4 linked regions of the Caenorhabditis elegans genome follow. The protein of the gene in region 1 purifies or fractionates together with the protein of each later gene. This does not show direct contact. Each region holds a gene or a part of one and is shown on either strand. Other genes may lie near its edges.

Evidence for each region.
Region 2: the proteins of C05C8.7 (region 1) and F53H1.3 fractionate together in Caenorhabditis elegans (co-fractionation; one large-scale study listed by BioGRID). This does not show direct contact.
Region 3: the proteins of C05C8.7 (region 1) and R03H10.2 fractionate together in Caenorhabditis elegans (co-fractionation; one large-scale study listed by BioGRID). This does not show direct contact.
Region 4: the proteins of C05C8.7 (region 1) and rab-14 fractionate together in Caenorhabditis elegans (co-fractionation; one large-scale study listed by BioGRID). This does not show direct contact.

What each region holds. Positions count from the first base shown.
Region 1 is NC_003283.11:7,242,386-7,249,013, reverse strand, and holds C05C8.7 (mannose-6-phosphate isomerase), read left to right. Parts: upstream 1-1,963; 5' UTR 1,964-1,996; coding exon 1,997-2,125; intron 2,126-3,235; coding exon 3,236-3,424; intron 3,425-3,470; coding exon 3,471-3,612; intron 3,613-3,967; coding exon 3,968-4,149; intron 4,150-4,594; coding exon 4,595-5,184; intron 5,185-5,416; coding exon 5,417-5,588; 3' UTR 5,589-6,101; downstream 6,102-6,628.
Region 2 is NC_003282.8:1,327,359-1,332,205, reverse strand, and holds the start of F53H1.3 (UDENN domain-containing protein), read right to left. Parts: upstream 3,045-4,847; 5' UTR 3,044-3,044; coding exon 2,948-3,043; intron 2,762-2,947; coding exon 2,640-2,761; intron 2,348-2,639; coding exon 2,203-2,347; intron 750-2,202; coding exon 644-749; intron 590-643; coding exon 450-589; intron 1-449. Other genes in the region: F53H1.4 (PHD-type domain-containing protein), read right to left, coding at 4,549-4,827.
Region 3 is NC_003280.10:4,153,808-4,158,805, reverse strand, and holds the start of R03H10.2 (uncharacterized protein), read right to left. Parts: upstream 3,034-4,998; 5' UTR 3,032-3,033; coding exon 2,867-3,031; intron 1-2,866.
Region 4 is NC_003284.9:15,604,093-15,608,155, forward strand, and holds rab-14 (Ras-related protein Rab-14), read right to left. Parts: upstream 2,544-4,063; 5' UTR 2,525-2,543; coding exon 2,419-2,524; intron 2,273-2,418; coding exon 2,028-2,272; intron 1,536-2,027; coding exon 1,417-1,535; intron 1,354-1,416; coding exon 1,191-1,353; 3' UTR 543-1,190; downstream 1-542. Other genes in the region: Protein nipi-3, read left to right, coding at 3,880-4,063.

The sequences.
Region 1 (6,628 bases):
CCACGACTGGGACGGAAAATACGCAAAAGATTCTTATCATGATAACTTTGTGTTTTCTTTGAAGATCTTTCGGAGAGATCAATATGTTTTGGGTATCTTTTCCCATTTTTTGATGTGAGAGAGGGCATCTGAACTTTGCTTTTACAGGTTAATATTGACTGCAGCAGAATTTAAGTTTGTTGATCGTGACGAAGTCGTTGTAATTTGTTGGTTACCATCCTTTTTCTATCCTTTTCGCTTCTTTTTTGTTTGTGTTTCACTCTTCGTCCAATGTGTCCATGTCATGAGTGACGAATTGACGTCACTTCAAAATTTAAGAAATTCGAATTGGTATTTCTAAGGTCTAGTTTTCAGCGCTACATTTTCTGAAATTTGCATTTTTTTTTTCCTGATCCAACACTTTTCAATTTTCTACCCAAGCTCGAAACGACAACATACGAGTTTTAATGAAAACTGGCTAGATCAAAATCGGACTGAGCTTCTGCTCGGCATAAACCATAGCCAAAGTCTTGCTTAAGATTTTCCCAAGCTTCTGAACCCAAAAAATCTTTTGGGGAAAGTTGAACACGAATTTGGCGCCAAACACCTGAAAAAAACACAATAGGTTTTTTAAAGACTTTCTACCTAGAAAAATTAGAGTATGTATCCGATGGCATGCCTATCTTGATATTTTGTCAAAAAAACCCCCTGTTTCCTTGCCTAGATTGTTTGCGATTCTAAATTTTTAGAACAAATAACCAGGCTGGTAACTTCTTAGTAGGTCAACGTGCACTTAATACTTATACAACACCTAGATCCCTTTCGTTTCCTTAGCGGTTGGGATCAGCCGACCGAGAAGGATAAGTGTGTCTGTTGGGATGGGTGGAGCTTCGGGAATATGAAATGCCCGTTTTCTTGATGACCTTGCCGGGACCGACGCGGACGAAGAGAAGAGACGGGAGACGACGTCCGTTTTGATAAAAATCAGAGGGGGTCTGTGTATAGATAGCGAGAACCAATACAGTACTTCGTCATCAGTGAAGAGACGGGAGGCGCTCGATGCATCAATTTGTCTCTCCTTCTCGACTCTTAGCGTCCACTCCGCAAAAGTCGCTACCTTCTCTTTTTCACAAAAATGTATCGTCGACGGCAACAACGATGCTGGTCCCCACTTTTTTTCACTTCTTTTTGTTGTCTTCATGCACTATTACACACTTTTTCGGACTGCAGAGAGTGAGAGAAAGGGGGCGAACGAACTGGTTTACCCCCGATCGACCCGATATGAATTGGACGCCCCTTTTCCAACCAGATATTGTTTGAAAAGACAAAAGACTCTCGAGAAGGTGACGATGATTAGGAAAAGTAATCGAGACAAGACTTTAAGAGAACATCATTAACAAGATTTGAGAGAATCGAGCCAAAGATAGGTGAAACATCAGTAACCCCATTTTCTTACCGCACCCATTTTTGCATTCGCCGAGATGATACAAATGCACTTTTCTTATTTCTCATGTGATACCTTTTTCATCATATCTTTGTTGCGAATCAAAACCGTTTTCATTCTAGGTTTTTGAAGGCCAATAGGCATGTCCAGCCTGAAAGTGTTCATTTTCTCCACCCACTTCGATCCACCCCTTGATCATCTTTTTTCATACTTTTCTTAAATTTCTTCTACCCTTCTTTTTCTTTCTCACTCTCTATATCTCTCTTCTCATTCAGAAATTCCAACAATTCTTTAAATTCACAGCTTCATCGTCACCCCCCTTCATCATCGATTTCTGTGTATCGTTCGTTGCAAGTGCTACCTATCATCTATCTCCGCTTCGCTGACCCACTTCGCCCCGTCCGTTTTCACCCCAACATCCTCTCCTTTGCAGTACTAGTGGCACAGCGTGTCATCCTCCTTTTATCGCCTAGTTTTGATCTACTCGATACTTTCATTAGTCTTCGTGCGCCGTCCACAACTCTTCCAACCGAATTCCAGGATCTTGGGTTCTGCGCCACGTTGACAACACAAATGGAACAACTCAAATGCCACGTCAAACAGTATGCGTGGGGAAAATATGGTGAGGAGAGCGAGGTGGCGAGACTATTTGCAGACGGTCATGAAAGTTTCCAAATTGATCAGAAGACACCATATGCTGAGGTAAGTATTTTTAATTAAAAAAAACACTTTTTCCTATATATCTTGCACCCTCATTGTTCTATGGCTAATTCCTGGTCACGTCATTAATTTCCAGCAACATTCATTACATTGGCCTGATCTAGATATCTTGCCAAAGTGGCAGCTAGAAAATCTCCGAAAATTCTGAATAAAAACGGAATAAGAAAAAAGTATTTTGTGTCAGATGGAAAACTGGAATAGGAGATTGATTCAAACATAAACGAACAATAAATAGTTCGTATAGTTTTCAATCTTAAAAAAGTAATTTGAATAGAATTCAAGAATAAAACAATATCGAATCGGAATCGTTTTCCTGAACAGAGTTCAAAATACACTTTGACAATAAGCATTATTTATTCATTACTATAACAATTCGTAAAAACTAGGAAATCGTATGTAAGTGCCAGATTAAAAAATAGCTCACATCTTCATACATTTTGGTAAGTTTCCACTCCACCGCCTTGTAGGTCCCGTGGGAGAAAGGCTGCGATTTTTGTGTTATTTCACCCATCTTATCAAATAATTGAATATCAAATATCATGCGAAACTATGTTCTTGGGGTTTGAGTCCCCGATGTAAATTTAATTTTATTCTGACTTCACTCAATCCTATTTCCTGGTATTCCCTTTGCCTCACTCCGTGTTTCCTTATATTCATTCATTAATCCATATTTCTTAATACTTTACTAAACCCAATATTGGCTAGAAAATTGAAATTTATATGAAATGTTACCTGGGAATATGACACAGGTAAACTATATGCTCACATAGGAACAATTTAAAATAAATACCTAGGGAGGGTTCATGGTAAATATGTATATACATACCTCTGAAAAGCTTTACATTCTTTTTTGAATACAGTTATTTTATTGGAGCCGATAATCATTGGTCTGAACCATTTAAAAAAGTGCAAACTTTTTTAATCTCTGTTGATCTCTGCTGCAGGAAAAAGTGACAAAACCGAATCTTCTGTAGATAAAGAAGTGTTTGGAAAACCTGATTGGTGATGGTTTTTTGAACCGATGTTGTTCTTGAACACAGTGATCAGACAGAGAAACCATGATTCGTAGCCTAGTAATTTAACGTTTTGTAGCTATGGATGGGAACCCACCCCGATGGACCAGCTCAGCTCAAGAAATGCTCCACCAAACTGTCGACGTACTTGGCAAAGAACCCATCTCCATTGACAAACAACAATTCGGCAAAGAACATTCATTTGCCATTTATCATGAAGGTGATGTCGATCAGAACCACCTTGTCACTACAAGTTCATCCAACCAAAGTATGTAATGAATTATAGCAGTTGGTTACCACGAGAGTTTTTATAGGAACAAGCTCGCCGATTGCATGAGAAAGACCCTATTCACTATCCTGATAGGAATCACAAACCAGAGCTGGCCTACGCACTTACCCGTTTCGAACTTCTTTGCGGATTCCGGCCAGCTAGAGAGATTTTGCAGAACCTTCAGAGTAAGTTGAACACACTAAGGTTTTAGTTTCAACGTCTTGTTAAAGTTTAAAAAAAAGTATAAACTTGGATCAAAAGTTGGCAGTGTTTGGGCAAAAATTTGTTCCAAGCCGCGCTGGCAAACGCTAGTCCAATTTTTTCTAATGTTTTTCTCAATCTTTTCCTGAGTTGTTTGGAATTTGGGTAAAATATTATATCAGCTCGGCCAACATTTGTGATAGACCCGAAAAAAGCCTTGTTCAGCCTTTACAATGCCTTTTCAACATCTGAACAAGATTTGCGTTTTCAAACATAACAATTAAGTAAGAAGAAGAACCCGAGAAACTCAATTATCTAGTCACATATTGGTTATTCCAGCCTTCCCATCATTCCGGTTACTTTTCGGAGGAGACACGTATGCTAAACCACTCGAAGATTGCATTCAACAAATGAAGGATCTGAACTCAGTTGACCAGAAATCTACAGAATTTAAAGACTCGAGAAAATATTTGGAGGACTGCTTTAGATTTATGATGGTTCCAGAAAGAAATGATGTTCATGTGGGTGTTTTTTTAATGATTTAATATTTTAAATTCAAACAATTTTTATGTTTGAATCGAAAATCGCAATTAACGTTTTTCGAGCATCCTATTTAAATTTCAATGATTCTTAATTACTAAACCCCATTTTTGAAAACCACGATTTCTGTTTTGTTTTTTTTAAAATCTATTTTATTCGGTATTTTCAATGTTTTCGCGTGAGGGAAAAACGATACATAAGGATTTTTAAATGATTACAAACTAGATAACTAATTAAGTTATCAGTGCTACACCAACCAAACTGGCAAGCAAATTGTGAAGCAATTTTTTTTTATAATGTTTGCGTATTAATAAATTTAAATACTGCTTGATTTTGATATAAACTTTCAAAACACTTTGGCAACCTGTTTGCAAATCCTTTCAAAGTTTTGTATTTCATTTTCTAACTTAAACTTTAAATTTCCAGGACCTGATTGCAAAGCTTCTTTCCGAACTTGACAATGGGCTTCGTGGTGCAGTTGAAGAAGTAACAGTAGGAGTGATTCGAAAAATGTCGGTTGATTTTCCAAATGATATTGGAATCTTCTCCCCACTTTTCCTCAATCACATGATTCTCGAACCAGGACAATGTTGTTATTATGCTGCTGAAGAACTTCATGCCTATCTCAGTGGTGAATGTGTTGAATGCGTGGGATGTTCAAACAATACGATTCGGGCCGCCATGACTCCAAAATACATTGACAGAGATGCTCTTTGCAGTGTTCTTAACTACAAGATGACAGAGCAAAAAGATTATTTGGTGCCAGAGAACAAGTTGACTGAATGTGTTGATATGTATGCACCAGATTGTAAAGATTTCCAACTTCATAGAATACGAGTAGGAACACATCAGACTGTTGAAGAAATGATGATTCCAACTCTTGATTGCGCATCCATCTTTGTAGTTGTCAGCGGAAAAGGTACACTAGAAGAGGCGACAATTGACAATCAGCTGATTGGACAGTATGAAGTTAAAAGAGGAGATATCTTCTATATTCCACCAAAGCATAATATCAGGTAAGTACGACTATATCTAAACTTTTATAAATTATTTGATATTAAATGTGGTCTCCTTCCTAGAAGTATTCATTATTAGCCATATTCTTTTGTCTTGAAATGTATTTTCTCTCATTCTTAAAAGTTTTTGCCAGTATCCAATTCGTTTTATTCTAAAGATTAAGAAAGGAACGACACGAAACTAATTAGAAACTTCCTGTTCAACAACTACTTTCAAATGTTTTATTTTTAGATTCTCAAGCTGCTCGGAACCATTAGAAGGATACAGGACGTTTAGTTACGAAATGGGACCAGATCATGACACACGGCTCGTCACTCCAGTTCAAAATGCGGTGCCTACGATTACTGAGAAAATGTTCAAATTAGATGCAGATATGGAAGAAGCGATCACCGCTGTTGTTTAATCTCTTTGTTTTGCATTTAATTTCAAATATTTTTCACTGTTTGAGCACTGATAATATTCTAAAGATATCATCCGTGTGCCGAATTACGGGGTAATACCAACACTTTTTTCAATGGAAAGTACAGTATCTTTTTGTAGTTTTTTTCATTATTTTTCTGTATGTCACTCTGTTCTCATTTCTAAAATGCTTCCTTTGTTTAAAAGGCGTTTTTTCTTCAATTTCTTCATTCCAATTGGCTTTTACCATTCATTCCTATGCTCCTCCACCAATCGCTCCGATCTACAATGCCATGAGAGTTCGTGGCTGCCGCTTTTTGCGCCTCGATCTACCCGAATCTTCTAGTTTTCGACACTTTTACCTTACCTTTTTTCCCCAATTTTCCCATTCGTTTCACCCCAGTCTCTCTTTCTCTTTATGATTTTTTTTGCAATTATTTTCTTCATGCTATCAGTTGTGCAAATTTATCTAGTTGTTTTTATTTTGAACATTGCCCAGAATAAATTTCACAATCAAAAAAAATTTTTTTTTGCTCTTCGTTCTACATTTAAATTTTTATATGATGTCGAAAAAAATGCAAACATGTATTTTTACATTTTTTTGACTTATTCAAATTTGTCAAAAATTTAAAATTAATGTTTTTAGATAGTTGGACTCTTTTAGATAAGATAGTTGGACTCTTTTTAAGGAAAATGTATTTTATAACGTGTAGAACTGTAGTCAATCATAAACTGGGAGCTGAAAAAATGAGAAATTAGACAACACCAGCTATATAAAGAAATGCTAGCAAAATTGCAAAAGTTTAGCAAATTGCGACCACCAAGACGAGAGCCGCAGTTAGGATAATAATTCTATAATGTTGGTGTCGCCACAGCGAAATTTGCGATTTGCAAAATTCATCTAAAAATTGGAGACAATGAGTTTTTTAACGACAAAACACCTGTGTTAGCAGGAAGTTGCTCTCAAATGCTCCAATTCTGAAAGTCACCAAAAAAGTGACGTTTTGTATCGACAACACGTAATTTGATTTGGTTGAGGAACAG
Region 2 (4,847 bases), on another chromosome or scaffold:
TTTCTAGTGAATTTCTCTAAATTTTCTGATAAATTTTGGATTTTTTGAGATTTTTAGTGAATTTATAATACACTTCTTTTTGGATAATATTTTAGATTTTTCAGTTTTGTTTTTTTAATTTCTGAAAATTTTTGTAATAAATTATCTCCAATTTTTCGTTAATTTTCAGCATATTTTCTGATTTTTTGAAGAAATTTTCTTTTTCGAAAACTTATAGAATTAAAATTCTGAAATTTTTGTGATTTTCTTAAATTTAAAAAAAAATTCAAAGATTCTGGAACATCATTGGAATATTCTTCAAAAAATATCTAGAAATAAGAATTTTTCGGCTAAAAATTTCACAATTCTCTATTTATTTCAATTTTCTGATAGATTCCGGACATTTTTTCAGACCAAAAATGTTCAATTTTTCGAGTTTTTTTTTTCCAATTTTTTCCAATTTTAGCTACCTCAACATGTCCATCAAGCCGGAATTCATATGGTAGATCACAGGCGGCCGGTAGGCGGCAACTGATTAAAGTACCGAGCAACGGTAACTCAATAGTCCGACCAGCGTGCGGCTGTTGCCACGTGTCAATGTGATGGCAGGCTGGAAAATTTCAGAAAATTTTAGTTTTTTTTTCCAATTTCAGGTGGCGGCTACCTGCTTCAATTGCTGCTTCTCCACTTTCAAAAAAATGCTCAGCGATGCGGGCGGTAACTGAGTAGAACAAGGAAAACAGTGGGAGCACTGACATTAGGACGATGCTCTGGAAATAGAAAATTAGCTAAAAAAAAAAAGGAATGGATTTTCAGCCAAGTTTTCAGGCTGAGAAATGGAAAATTTGGGCATAGCTTCCGCATCTCTAGTGACAAATGTGCTCTATTGCACAAATTGTTGGTTGGAATACGGTATTTATTGCATATTTCAGCCGAGAATACCACTATTCAAACCATCAATTCGGATAGAGAAACACACAAGTCACAGACAATATATAGGGAAATTCAGTTCAGTTGCCGTTCAATTTTGACCTACTTTGCGCAAAGTCTGAAAAAGTTGGGTCTCGCCACGAAAAAAAAAACTATTCGAATTTCCTATAAAAAAAACAAAAAATACAAATTTTTTGATTTTCATGGGAAAAACATCGAAAAATTCAAAAATTTGCCGTTTTTTCCGTAAAAAACGGATTTTTTACCTGGAAAAAGCCACAAAAAATTCCGAAAAACAAGCGGAAAAGCTAAAAATTCTAATTTTCAGCAGGATTTTGATTAAAAATTAGAACAATCCAAGAAACCACTAGGTTTTCAACAAAAAATTGGAAATTGAGCAGAATTTTTCAGTTTTTACAGCTTAAAAAAAAAACATCATAAATTCCGAGTTACCGTACCCAAATTTATAGCTTTCCTCGGAAACTGGGATTTAAAAAAAACAGAAAATTGTCAGAAAAAAGGGTTTTTATGGGTTTTTTTTTCAAATTTTATAATAAATTTTAATGTCGAAATTTCCAAATTTTCTACTTTACACCCGAAAACAGCCAAATTTCCGCGCTAAATGAAAATTTGGGCATAGCTTCCGCATCCCCGGTGACAAATGTGCTCTATTGCACCGAATTGTTGGTTGGAAAACGGTATTTATTGCATATTTCAGCCGAGAATACCACTATTCAAACCATCAATTCGGATAGAAAAACACACAAGTCACAGACAATATTGTTTTCGAGTTACCGTATAACTTTGACCTACTTTGCGCAAAGTCTGAAAAAATTGGGTCCCACCACGAAAACCTGTGGGTTACTGTAGAATTTTGTGACGAGACCCAATTTTGTTTAAAATTTGCGTAAAATACGCCATATTTATACTTAAATTGAAGCTCTCATCTAGATTAATAAGAAAATGCCAGTAAAACTGAAAAAAACGTCTTAAAAGCTTAATAATTCCAATTTTTCTGGGAAAGGTCATAAAATTGTGACAATTTGTCGAATTTCCTTTTTAAAAAATTGAAAAGCCTAAAATTTTCCATTTTTCTGGAAAAAAAGCCGACAATCCATAGTTTTACCCTTTTTTTGGCAAAAGACGAACATTTAAAAAATTCCGTTTTTTCCAAAAAAAAGGGGAAAATACTAAAAATTGTTCCATTTTTCCGGAAAAAAGTGAATTTTAGCGGGGAAAAACTCGAATTTTCACTCAAATTTTCGCCAATTTTATTGCGTTCCGGTTATGAACCTTCTGATAATATCCTCGATGAATTGTCGGGTCTTTGCATTGCCGAAAATGCACAAAACCGTATAAATAGTGTGTATCAAAGGGTAGAGACGTCGGAGATTTGTCGACAAACGACTTTTGGCAGTCTCTGACGTCACTGATTGCTCTGAAAATTTTTAATTTTGAGTATTTGCATTGAATTCAGCTCACTTAAAGCTTCAAAATGAGTATAAACATGACCTAGTTTGCTGAAATTTGAAAAAAGTTGGGTCCCGCCACGAAAACCCAATTTTCTTCAAAATTCAGCAAAGTAGGTCATAATTATACTTAAATCAAAGCTCTCGGTGAGCTGAACACGGAAATCACTCGCAAATTTTCAGATTTCAGCCAAAAAAATTTTTTCTCAAAATTTGAAAAAAAAATATTTTTTTCCGAAATTTTTAATCTCAAAAAATCACCTGCGTATCCTGAAATGAAAATTTGTGTCTCGTGCATTACTGGAATTCGAGTCTGGAAATGCCAAATAGCAGATATTGATTTTTTCAGTGTTCGATAGAATTGCGTCTCCTGGGTAGATTACCTGAAAAAACCAGATTTTTTTTTTGTCAAAATCGTGCTCAGCTCGTCGAGAGCTTTGATTTGAGTATAATCACATTAATCATTTTAAAAAATGCGAAAATTTCCGGGTCTCGCAGCGAAAAGTCAGAAAATCCGGGATTTTTTGATTTTTCTGCATTTTTTTTTCAGTTTTTCTGCAAATCCTCACTTCCAACGCCTGTCCAAGCTCCAAATCAAACGTGACCACACAAATGCAGTGAAGCCAGTCGCGAAACCGGTCCCATGGCTCAATATCCGGCTCCATTCTGAAAATTTTCAAGATTCCAGGTTTTCTGTGCTTTTTAGGTGGATTTTCAAGATTTTTAGGGTAAAAATGGTGAGAAAATCGATAAATTAGCTGATTTTCAGCGAAAAAAACTGGAAAATTCATGAAAAACGGCGCAAAATCGGCAAAAACGAACAAAGAAACCGGTTCCGTCTCTCTCGTCATCTCGCGCACTCCACGGAATGCGTGCTCTCTCGGTGGTGCGATGGAGCGCACTTGCATTGTTTTGGTTTTAACCGATTTTCAGGGGATTTTCGGGGGATTTTCAGCCGAATCCGAAAGTTTAAGCAAGATTTGAAATCAGATAGATTATACCAAACAAATGAATTTCACGAATAATTCAAATTGAATGTCTATTTAAATATGTGCTAACTACGGTAAGCGAAAAAGTACGCATTGCATACAATACACTTTAATTGACGCGCAAATGTTTTTTCTGTTAAAAAAAAATGTTTTCAAGCTTAATTTAGATATTTTTAACGAAAATTGTCGTTAAAATTAAGCAAATGGTTTGTTTAAACGATTATAACACAATGTTTAGAATAAAATAATCGAAAAATCTAATTATTTTTGTATTTTCCACTCGAGACCCAAAAAATTCCAAAATTGTTGAATATTTACCACAATTTTCATCCTAAGTCGCGAGTTTCTCACCAGAAAAGTTGTCTTTATCAGCGAAATTAACCTGGAAATTCAAATTTTTGAAGTTTTACACTCGAGACCCAGAAAATTTCCGGAATTTGTGTATTTTCCATGTTTTCGAATTCTTTGTGAAATTCACTTCAAATTGAATTCTTTCCATTGAAAACCTACAATTTCCAGCAAAAAATAACCGGAAATTTCAAAATTTCCAAGTTTTCCACTCGAGACCCACCGCTGGATTACTGTAACTTCATTATTACGTGTGCCAACTTTATTTCAACGTTTTACAATCGAAAAATGAGGGGGTTCTCACCCAAAAAATTACAATAAATTAGATAAAATGATCGAATGCCATGATGAAAAATTTCAAAAAAATGCCAAAACTCGTTGCCGGGGGGTGAAAAAAAATCTTAAAGGGACAGGAAAATTTGGAGAATCTGTGAAAAAGTGAGAAAAATAAGAAATTGATAGTTTTTTTTGGGATTAAATAGTGAGAAAATAGGGAAAAAAGTAAAAAATGTAGAAAAAATATCAAAAAATTCTGCGAAAACTGGAAAAATCTCCAAATTTGCAAATAAAAGTCGAAAAATTTCGAATTTTTTCAAAAAAAAAATTAAATTCATATTTTTGGAAATTTTTATTTGAAAAATTCGAATTTTTTGGAAAAAAAATCGGAAAATTTAAAATATTCAATTTTTTTGGGAAAAAATTCCGAAAATTTAAATTTTTAATTTAAAAAACCGATTTTTCAACATTTCAACTGCATTTTAGGACACTTTTCACAATAAAAATGATACACTTTCAAAAAAAAAAGAAGATTTTTCAGTGTATTCCGAAATAAATCACATAAAATTGAGTTCAGAAATGAGCTCATCAAGATCATCCAACTTTCTTGGGTTATGAGTCTCAATGTATCCACGTGCATGACGGAAGAATTGGCTCAAATGCTCGTGAAGCTGCTCGGCAGACGTGTAAACGTCCAAATCTTGCTCAATATCCGGCAGAGAGCGATTCTCGTGTTGAGCGTTACGTGTCGAACGGGATTGGCCGGGAATTTGTTGCAGGGTCTTGTAGAGTCGAGGATTGGCACGTTCGATCGAGTTGAACAGCTCCAGCACTTCCTGAAAATTTGGAAAAATTG
Region 3 (4,998 bases), on another chromosome or scaffold:
TCTTCCTCCTGTCCAGTCAAGAGAATCTTCTGGGGTATGAAAATTTCAAACACCAGCCATTAATTTTCAAAGTTCAAGTAAACGAGATTCTCATGAAATTAGAGAAAATTATAGGGCAAAACTGCGCACAAATTGGCTCGGGCTTTTGCAGGAAACCCGATTTTTTCTGGAATAAAAAGTTTCAATTTGATCTTTCAGCCGGCAATTATGTTGGTCAAAACAGAGTAATTTGGAAATTGTAGGCTTTGAAATTTTGGAAGGTTTGACGAGAATTCAGAAAAAAAGGTATCAAAAACTACAAATTCGGAAGAAAATGAGGCCGAGTTCTTGGGCTTAGAACGTTGGGCAAACCCTTGACGTTTAGGCTTAGGCTTAGAATTATGCATAGGCTTGGGATTTAGGCTCAGTCTTAGGCTTGGGCATATGTTTAGGCTTGAGTTGAGGCTTAGGCTTAGTCTTAGGCTTACGCTGAAGCTCAAACTTAGGCCTTTAAACTAGGGCCTTTAGATTTAGTCTCAGGCTTCTTTCTTCACGGTTACTATTAGGCTTAAGCTTGGTTCAAGACTTTTGGCATACACCTCATCCAAAGCTGAGCTTTGATTTTTTTCAAAAAAACGTTTTCCCATTTCTAGAAACATCAAAAGTTCTGCTCCCTTACAGTACCCCTTCTCAAGCAAGCTTTGCTCGAGAAACCTCGTGGTACCCTTTTCCCCTCCAAAAAATCTTGCTGATTAATTAGCTCCTATGACTCCTCTCTATTCATCTTCTTCTGACTTCTTCTTGTTCACCCGTCTCTCGCCTCATGACCATGCTCGGTTGGATGGATAACGCGGGGCGGAGCCAATTATCACCAGAGCACACGGGTGCCTATATAAGCAAGAGCAAGAGAACACACTGATAATACTCTAATCTCTTGAGTTTTTCAAATTCTTCAATTGCTCTAATTTCTAAATTCTCTACAAAATGTTCCACATCAATCAAGACATTCTCACCAACGTCGATGCTCACCGCTCCCCAGCAGTCAAGGCTGCAATCCAGAGGACTATCGAGGAGAAGCGACGTGGGTTCCGCAGATGTGTATCTGCATTTTATTAAGCTTCTTGGAAAGCTCCTCTATGAGCCCTAACTGTTCTAAATATCTGTACAAAAATCTACACAAGCCGCCTTCACGGGTCTCTCCACATTCGAACTACTATTTTTTTCCGGTTTTGTTTTTTAAATGTTATTTTGTTGTTTTTTCTTCATTGTTTTTTGAATTGTTGTAGACTCTAGAAACCCTTACTTTCTTTGTATATATTGAACCAAAATTGACATTAAAGCTTCCAAAAAAAGTAATAAATTACATTTTTATATATCAAAAGTGTCTTGTTTTTTCTAGGGATTTTCAGGGTTTTCAGATAATTTCAGATGCTTAAAAGTGAACAACAAGATGAAAAATTCATAACAAAGAAGCGAGAGTACCGAAAAGTTTCAGATTTTTTCAGATTTCAGAAATTTTAGGAACAGGACTGGCTAGACTAGGGCTAGACTTATGCGTTGGCCATAGGCTTATGGTCAGGTTTAGGTCTATAGCCATGTTTGGGCCTAGGACTAGATTTAGGCCCAAGACTAGGCATTAACCTAGGACTAAGGGCTAGGCTTAAGGCTAGCTCTAGGTTTAGGCTTTGAGCTAGGCCATCAGGATTCACAACTTCGGTTAGTAGATGTTAAGCATTTCAAGGTTGCAAGAGCTGGCACTTAAGCTTCTAACCTAAGTATGGTCTTCAGATATGTATTTAGGCTTAGACACCTGCTTATGCCTAGTTCTAGGCTCAGGAGTAGGCCTAAACCGAGTCTCAGGTTTAGGACTACCACTAAGCTAGCTTTTTCTAAACTATATTTTTCACTACGAAAAGGAGAAAATCCTAGTTTGTAGTTAACATATTTTTCCGACACAGACTCACAGATTCAAAGATTCAATTATTTCTCTAATAGACCATATCACTATTCGAACCCAACTTTTCTGACTTCCTCTTCACTTTTTGATCTAACAAAAACTTTTGATCTATCTAACTAGCACCTATTCATAATGTATTTACAGCTGCAGAGGGTGTTTATTAAGAATAACCGAGTAATCAGGTCATAGATTCTTTTGAGTTCCCGAAACATTTTGTGATTCAGTCAGATTTGGTTCTAAAATTGAGTTATGAGTCAGGAAGTATTTTGGGAATCCGAAACGTTTGGGCTTATACCTTCAGGCTAAGGCTTGGGCTTTTTTGCTTAGGACCCTAGGCCAAGGCCCTTGGGATTAAGTCTTTCGACTTAATCCCAAGGGCTTTTCGACACATCCCATCCAGGCTATCAGGCGTAGGCCTTCAAATGTAGGCCTTCAAGTTGAGTCTTTCAGGCTCAGCTCTTTGGCTTAATATCTGTAGACTCATGCTTCAAAAATTCACTCTTCAATTTTGTCTTTTCGAAATTTCGTTTTGCAGTTTTCACAAGGTTTCGTGCATTTTTGTTATTTATTTATTTGTATACCTAGTATCTCATTAGTAATAATCTTTTTCCAGTTAAACCAAAAAAAAAATTTATAATCTTCCCGGAACCCCCTTCCCAGCTTATTTTAATCCTATTAATAATTCGGTTTAAAGCTCAGTGTACCGGAAAGTTCCAATCCCAAAAAAGTTTGAAAATAAGCACACAACATATTTCTTTTTGCAAAAATGTGAAGCAGTATTCATGTGCATATAATCTTCTTTTTTTTCCTTTTTCGAAACAAACTTTTTCTCATATCCGGTTCACTAAAGATAGCAGATGGATTCCGGCCAAGTGTGACCGCGGTCGGATTTTGAACTTAAATTTTTTGGGGAAAATTTGAAAAACTAACCGCCACTGCCAATGCCAGTGCCATAACCAAAAACATTCCGACAGATTCTCTCCAAGTCTGTGCGCCTTTAAACGTGACTTTTGGGTTATTCGACACTGTCCGAATCGGTGGAGCAGGGGGTAGTTGAGGAGGCGTTTTTGGCTCCGAATCGAAATCGAAATCCATTTCTGCAGATAATTTTGAAAATTAACTGTAAATACTTTTAGCAAAGTTGGAATAAAAACTTAAGGAACAAAAGACAATGTGAAAATAAAAAAGAAAAAAACAATTTTTTTTCTAAAGAAAAATGTTGCAAACGTTGTTTGGAAATTTTTTTATTCAATATCGAAATTTCCAATTCCCGAAATTTTACATTAAAATCTATAAGCCTAGAAGTTTACAAGCTTAAATAAAATGCGTCATGAAGTTGTTAAAAAACTATAGTCTTTGCAACAAAAAAAACATTAAAAATTTAGAGAACAAGCCTAAGTCTAAGCCTAGCCTAAGCCTAACTCTAAGCCGAAGCCGAAGCCGAAGCCTAAGCTTAAGCCTAATCCTAAGCCTAAGGATAAGCCTAAGCCTAAGCGTAAGCCTAAGCGTAAGCCTAAGCGTAAGCCTAAGCGTAAGCGTAAGCCTAAGCCTAAGCCTAAGCCTAAGCTTCACCATAAGCCTAAGTCTAAGCCTAAGCCTAAGTTCAAGCCGAAGCCTAAGCCTAAACCCAAGCCTAAACCCAAGCCTAAGCTTAAACCTAAGCCTAAGCCCAAGCCAAATCCATTCCTGAACTGTCCAGCTAATAAAAAGTATGTGTTAACAGCTTCATAAATCCAACAACCGACTAGTGAAAATGTGGTAATCTATCTTCCGGAGAGAATCTACTTCAGGTTTCCAACGTCAAACGCATATTAGTATATACTAATACGATAATAGGAAAACGAACGGAATGGAAGGGAAGAAGAAGACAGGTGGTAGTAGTGGAGAAGAAGCATCAGGAAAAGAGAAGAATATGACAAAACGGGAGACAGGCTTCTGGTACTAACCGACAGAAAGAAGAGAGAGAGAGAAAGAGACCACCTGCAGGGAATATACAGTCAAAATCTACTTATCGCACTTTTATGGGTGGACATATGTGTGTTCGGAAATGCATCGCTGGTTTGTTGTGTGAGGCATTCCGAAAAAGGAACATGTAAGGTTTTTGAGGGAGAGAAATGAGTCAACACTTAACTTTTGTGAGATGCGTTTAGAAGACGAAAAGGGAAGGTAATGAAGGACCCGAGACAAGTAAGGTCACTAGGAATAAGGTGGAGGGGTACACCGGAAAACTGAAACATAGAAAATAGAAAATTGCCTTAACCCAAAAAATAGAAAAAAAGTTTCACAAAAATCTCTGAAATTTTTGAATTTAGAAAAACTCAAGTATTAAACAACTCCACCATCTTGTAAATATATTACTCAGACGCAAAATTGCAAAATTTTAATTAATTTTGCAATTTTCCGCCAAAAATGTGATACCCGGCCTCGATACGACTAATGTTAGTTAAATGCCAAAAAGTGTGCGTCTTTAAAGAGTACTGTAATTTATCTTTTTGGAATTTTCATCAATTTTCAGTTTTGTGCACTTATTTATTTTTTTGAAAAAAATGTGAGAAATCTATGTAAATTAAATAGAAAAAAACACTGCAGAATTTATTTAGGGTAAAATTATAGTACTCTGTAAAGACGCATAGTTTTCCGAATTTGAGAAAATTTGTCGTTTATTGTTTTTTTCTCAAAAATAGCAAACTTAACGTCCGGATAATGTTTTTTCGTCATATTTGAATTATTATTTTTTTTTTAAATTCTTAAACAAAATTGGTATGTAAAATACAAATAATGTTTGAAAAAGTCAACAATTAAAAAGAAAATTCAGAAATTTTTGGCTTTCCGCTAAAACACCCTAAAATGTTACACCAATATTATAGAAAATCGATAGCTTTTATAAATTTTTAATATAAAATGTCTTCTTCTTACCTAATTTAACAAAAACATTAATGCAAATTCGCTCCGCCGACAATAAAAGATTTCAAATTTCACACGAAAAAAAAAATCAATAAACACACAAAAGTATGCAAAATCGAAAACAAACGAAGATAAAAGTCTGCGACCTTCGTAAGTAT
Region 4 (4,063 bases), on another chromosome or scaffold:
TGCGGGGTTGCCGATTTGCCTGAAATTTTCATTTTCGGCAAGTTGCCGATTTGCCGTTTGCCGAATATCAGATTTCCCGGAAATTTTTAGAGGGACTTTTTATAGAACGGAAACTCTTAAAACCGTTTTTTTTTGAATTTTTTCCGTTTTGTCTACATATTTTCATAGAATTTGCTTACTTTTCGAAATAGATGTAGGAATATTCATAGGATGCGTAAAATTTTGTCATTTGAAATTGGAATTCTAAAATTTCCAAAAAAATAAGTGCGAAACCACAATTTGCAGAAATTTTTTGGCAAGTTTCTTTTTTTCCAGCAAATTTGGCGAATCGGCAATTTGCCGATTAGCCGATTTGCCGGAAATCTGCAATTCCTGCAATCTGCCGATTTGCCGATTTGCCGGAAACAATCGTTTGCTGCCCACCCGTGACTAGAATCCCATTTCAGCCACGGATTACTCTGTCATTAGAAAAATTTACGCACACTTGAAAACACATTTGACTATTACTGGTGATGTTAACTTTGAAGATTGAGCACTTCATGCTTCAATGAATAGTTTTTTTAAATATTATATGTACAATTGAATTTTGCTGAAAAATGATTAAACAAAAAAAATAAATTTTGAAAAAGTTTTCTGAAATCATAGGTTCATAAAACTAACAACAGAGAACTATTTATAAGGAAAAGTGACAAAAATGACAAAAATCGTTAGTTTTTTTGATTTTCAAAGCACAATTATAGCACTTAATGGGGTGGGATCATATAGATGTTTCTTATCACACAAGGAATGGGGGAAAAATGTTCAAAACGGTTTTTGACAGAAAAAATCTACTAAATATGCAGTTGGTTGGGTGAGCGAAAGTGTTATATTATGAACGGTTCACAGTTCGATGATGATAGTGAGTAATGGGTGGGGGACTGAAAAAGACTGGGAATTGGTAAGTAAAAGTGACACAAAGTTCTGAATTTCAGAGTAGTTTTATAGTGATTACAAGTTTAGATTTTGACAGGCAACTAGAATTTGGAAACAAGAAACCATACCACCCAATGTTGATTCTTCTGGCATTTTAATGATAATGGGTGACAAGCTCTCACATACAGATAGACGGATTAGAAAGTAATAATTTAAAAAAATACATTAAAATCAATTGGGAATGATTTGAGGGGAAGAAGGGACTTTGCACACATCAACTAGCAGTTGCAGTCCTTCTTCCCATTATTTTCAGCTGCACGTGGCAAGTTCTGTTTTGGCTGGACGCCAGTGTCGGCGGCGTTCAAGTCCAAACTTCCGTCTTGGATATTCTGATAGATTTGCTTGGCCGTTTCGAGGAAAGCGTCTTCGACGTTACTGCCACTGAAAAAAAAGCCATTTGAAATTGATGAATTTGCAGTGGGGGGGTGGGGGGAAGAAACTTACGTCTTCGCACTGCACTCCAAGAAAGTGAGCCCGTTTTCTTCGGCGAAAGCTTTTGCTTCCTCGTATGGCACGTCACGTTGATCTTCGAGGTCGGCTTTGTTTCCGATAAGAAAGATGGCCTGAAAAAGGAACTTGTGAGAATTGGTGCTTGAATCTCATTTTTATTGTAAAATTAAATCAGTGCAAAGTGGACGAAATACTGTTTTCTTACTAATACAGGTAGATTTTTAACTCTCCAAATAAAACTAGATAACCCAATTTTAACTCGTTTTTTTTAGATATTAGTTTAACGATAAAACACACAATTTAGAGCACATACAGATTGAATGTTTTCCAGCTTAAATCTGATTCATGAGAATTTTGATTGAAATTCAGTTTATAGTCTACGATCTTTTGAGCTGCAAATAAATGTTATGCTTGCAAAAATTCATAAATTGCAATTTACTAAACATGGCGTACATCTATGTAGTTTTGAAATTTTGCTGAAAGTTCAAATTCGCTTTAATTTTGGAACTTGGGAATGCTTTTATAAAGTATAAATTCGAGTTTTTATATATTTTTCAACCCTACTTTTGAGTAAAAATTATAAACCAAGTATATATTTTACCTACCGTATTTGGATTGGTCAAGCTTTTTGCGTCGGCCAACCAGCTGCTCAAATGATTGTAGGTAGAACGGCGAGTGATGTCGTAGACCATCAAGGCTCCGGCTGCTCCACGATAATATGATCGCGTCACAGCGCGGAATCGCTCCTGGCCCGCCGTGTCCCAGATTTGAAGCTTGATCTTCTGTCCGCTGACCTCAATAATCCTGGTGCCGAATTCCACGCCGATTGTGTGCGGGCAGTCGGCCATGACTGAAAGTTAGTTATAGTTAGTTTTTGCGTTTGTTGCCCGCAGTGATTGTACGGTGGTTATTGACCGGAGGAACAGGTCTCTTGTTGATGACTAATGTTGACACAAACAACATGATATATCGATTTTCCAGGAATGCGGGACTTACACTTCTTTTCTGTGAACTGATGAAGAAGACACGATTTTCCGACACCCATATCACCAATAATAATATATTTGAAAATATACGAATAATTGTAAGGAGCAGCCGTCATTTTTATGTGTTTTTGTTACCTGAAAGTTGCGGATTATATTTTGGTTATTCGTTTCAGAAAAAAGGATACAAAAAAGTAGCAATGAGAATAGATAGACCACACAAAAGAAAGTGGCTATTAGAGACTGACTGCCAAGTTGTCATTAGTTGGAAGTAGGGGAAAACCGACGGGGAGAGAGAGACAAATGTGGAAGTAGTTGGGATAGAGAAAGATGAACGCCACGTCCAAAAGCAATAGAGAATCCATTGGCCTCCAGAAAGCTAAAAGAGGCAATGTCGGAGAGAGAGAGAGGAGCAGTTGTACGAGGAGTGCTACGCAATGGAATATCACGAGGAAAGAGACACTGGACAAAAACGGGGGCCCCTCCATTCCTCTATCTCTGTCTTCTCTGAGAAACGACGCGTCGCGTACTATCGACCGCGACGCTTGCAACGGAACTGGTCTCTACTGCGTGTCTCTAACGTCTCGCTCTCGGTGTGCGCTGTACTGTGCTGTCTGACTCTCGCCTTATGTGCCGCGTAGGAGACGGATTGGAGATGAAGAAAAAAACACGTAGAGAGACAAAAAGAGAGAAGAGTGAAATGACGAGTGAATGCGCACGTGTGTGTGGGCTCTAGCTTTTCTCCTTATTCATCTGTCATTGGTGTTGAGCCAGCTATCTTTTTCCTTGTTCCAAAGAGATCATGCTTTTTCTTTTTCATATACGTAGATGCCTAAGACATGGAAAAAACAATTATTTCCTCCTGCTTCTTGTTTTGCTCTTCAAATTCATCTTCAGAACAGAGTAAAATACTATAATATTAAATATGCTTAATAGCCTAATCAAATTGCAAATTATGACTTCAATTTCCAACCATGGCTCCCCTAATCGGTTACAACTCGTTTGTGAACAGTCTTACAGTTCTCGAGACATTTGATTTTATCACTATTCGACCATCTACCCACTCATTCTCTATCTCTCGTTTCGGTCCCCGTAGTTTCCTTCTCTGACACTTGTGTTGATCGTAGTGCCGCGATGATATTTCGCAATACCTGCTGATGCACGAGCTTCTCTCATCGCCACGCGCTCTCTTCCGATTCCTCTCGTCGTTTCTGTGATATGTGAAGAAGGGCGGTCCTCCCTCTAGTCATCTACAATGTAGTATTGCGAAATATTAAAAAAAAAAAAAACGGAAAATTCATTGTGAAACCCTCGCAGCCAGTAATGTTTCGCAATAACACCCCTTCATTCTTACCAATTCTAGGGTTATCATTCTTTGCATTTTCTTGTCTGTAGTCTACCAACTTTATCTCATTTGCTTCTTCTCCTTTTGTAACAATGTTCCCTAAACATTATTTTTTTTGTTTTTCAGGGTATGGCTCGTACAAAATGCAAAACCAAAACCGTAGCCAATCCTAGAACTGGAGTCAGAAAAACCGCAAAAGATCTTTCTGAACCAGTTCGTCAGGATGCCGTTTCAAGAAGGAGGCCCACAACTCTTCCTTTTGTTGGAAATACCTCAAGTCGTCCAAGGGTGTTTTACGATGTTCTAGCCAAGA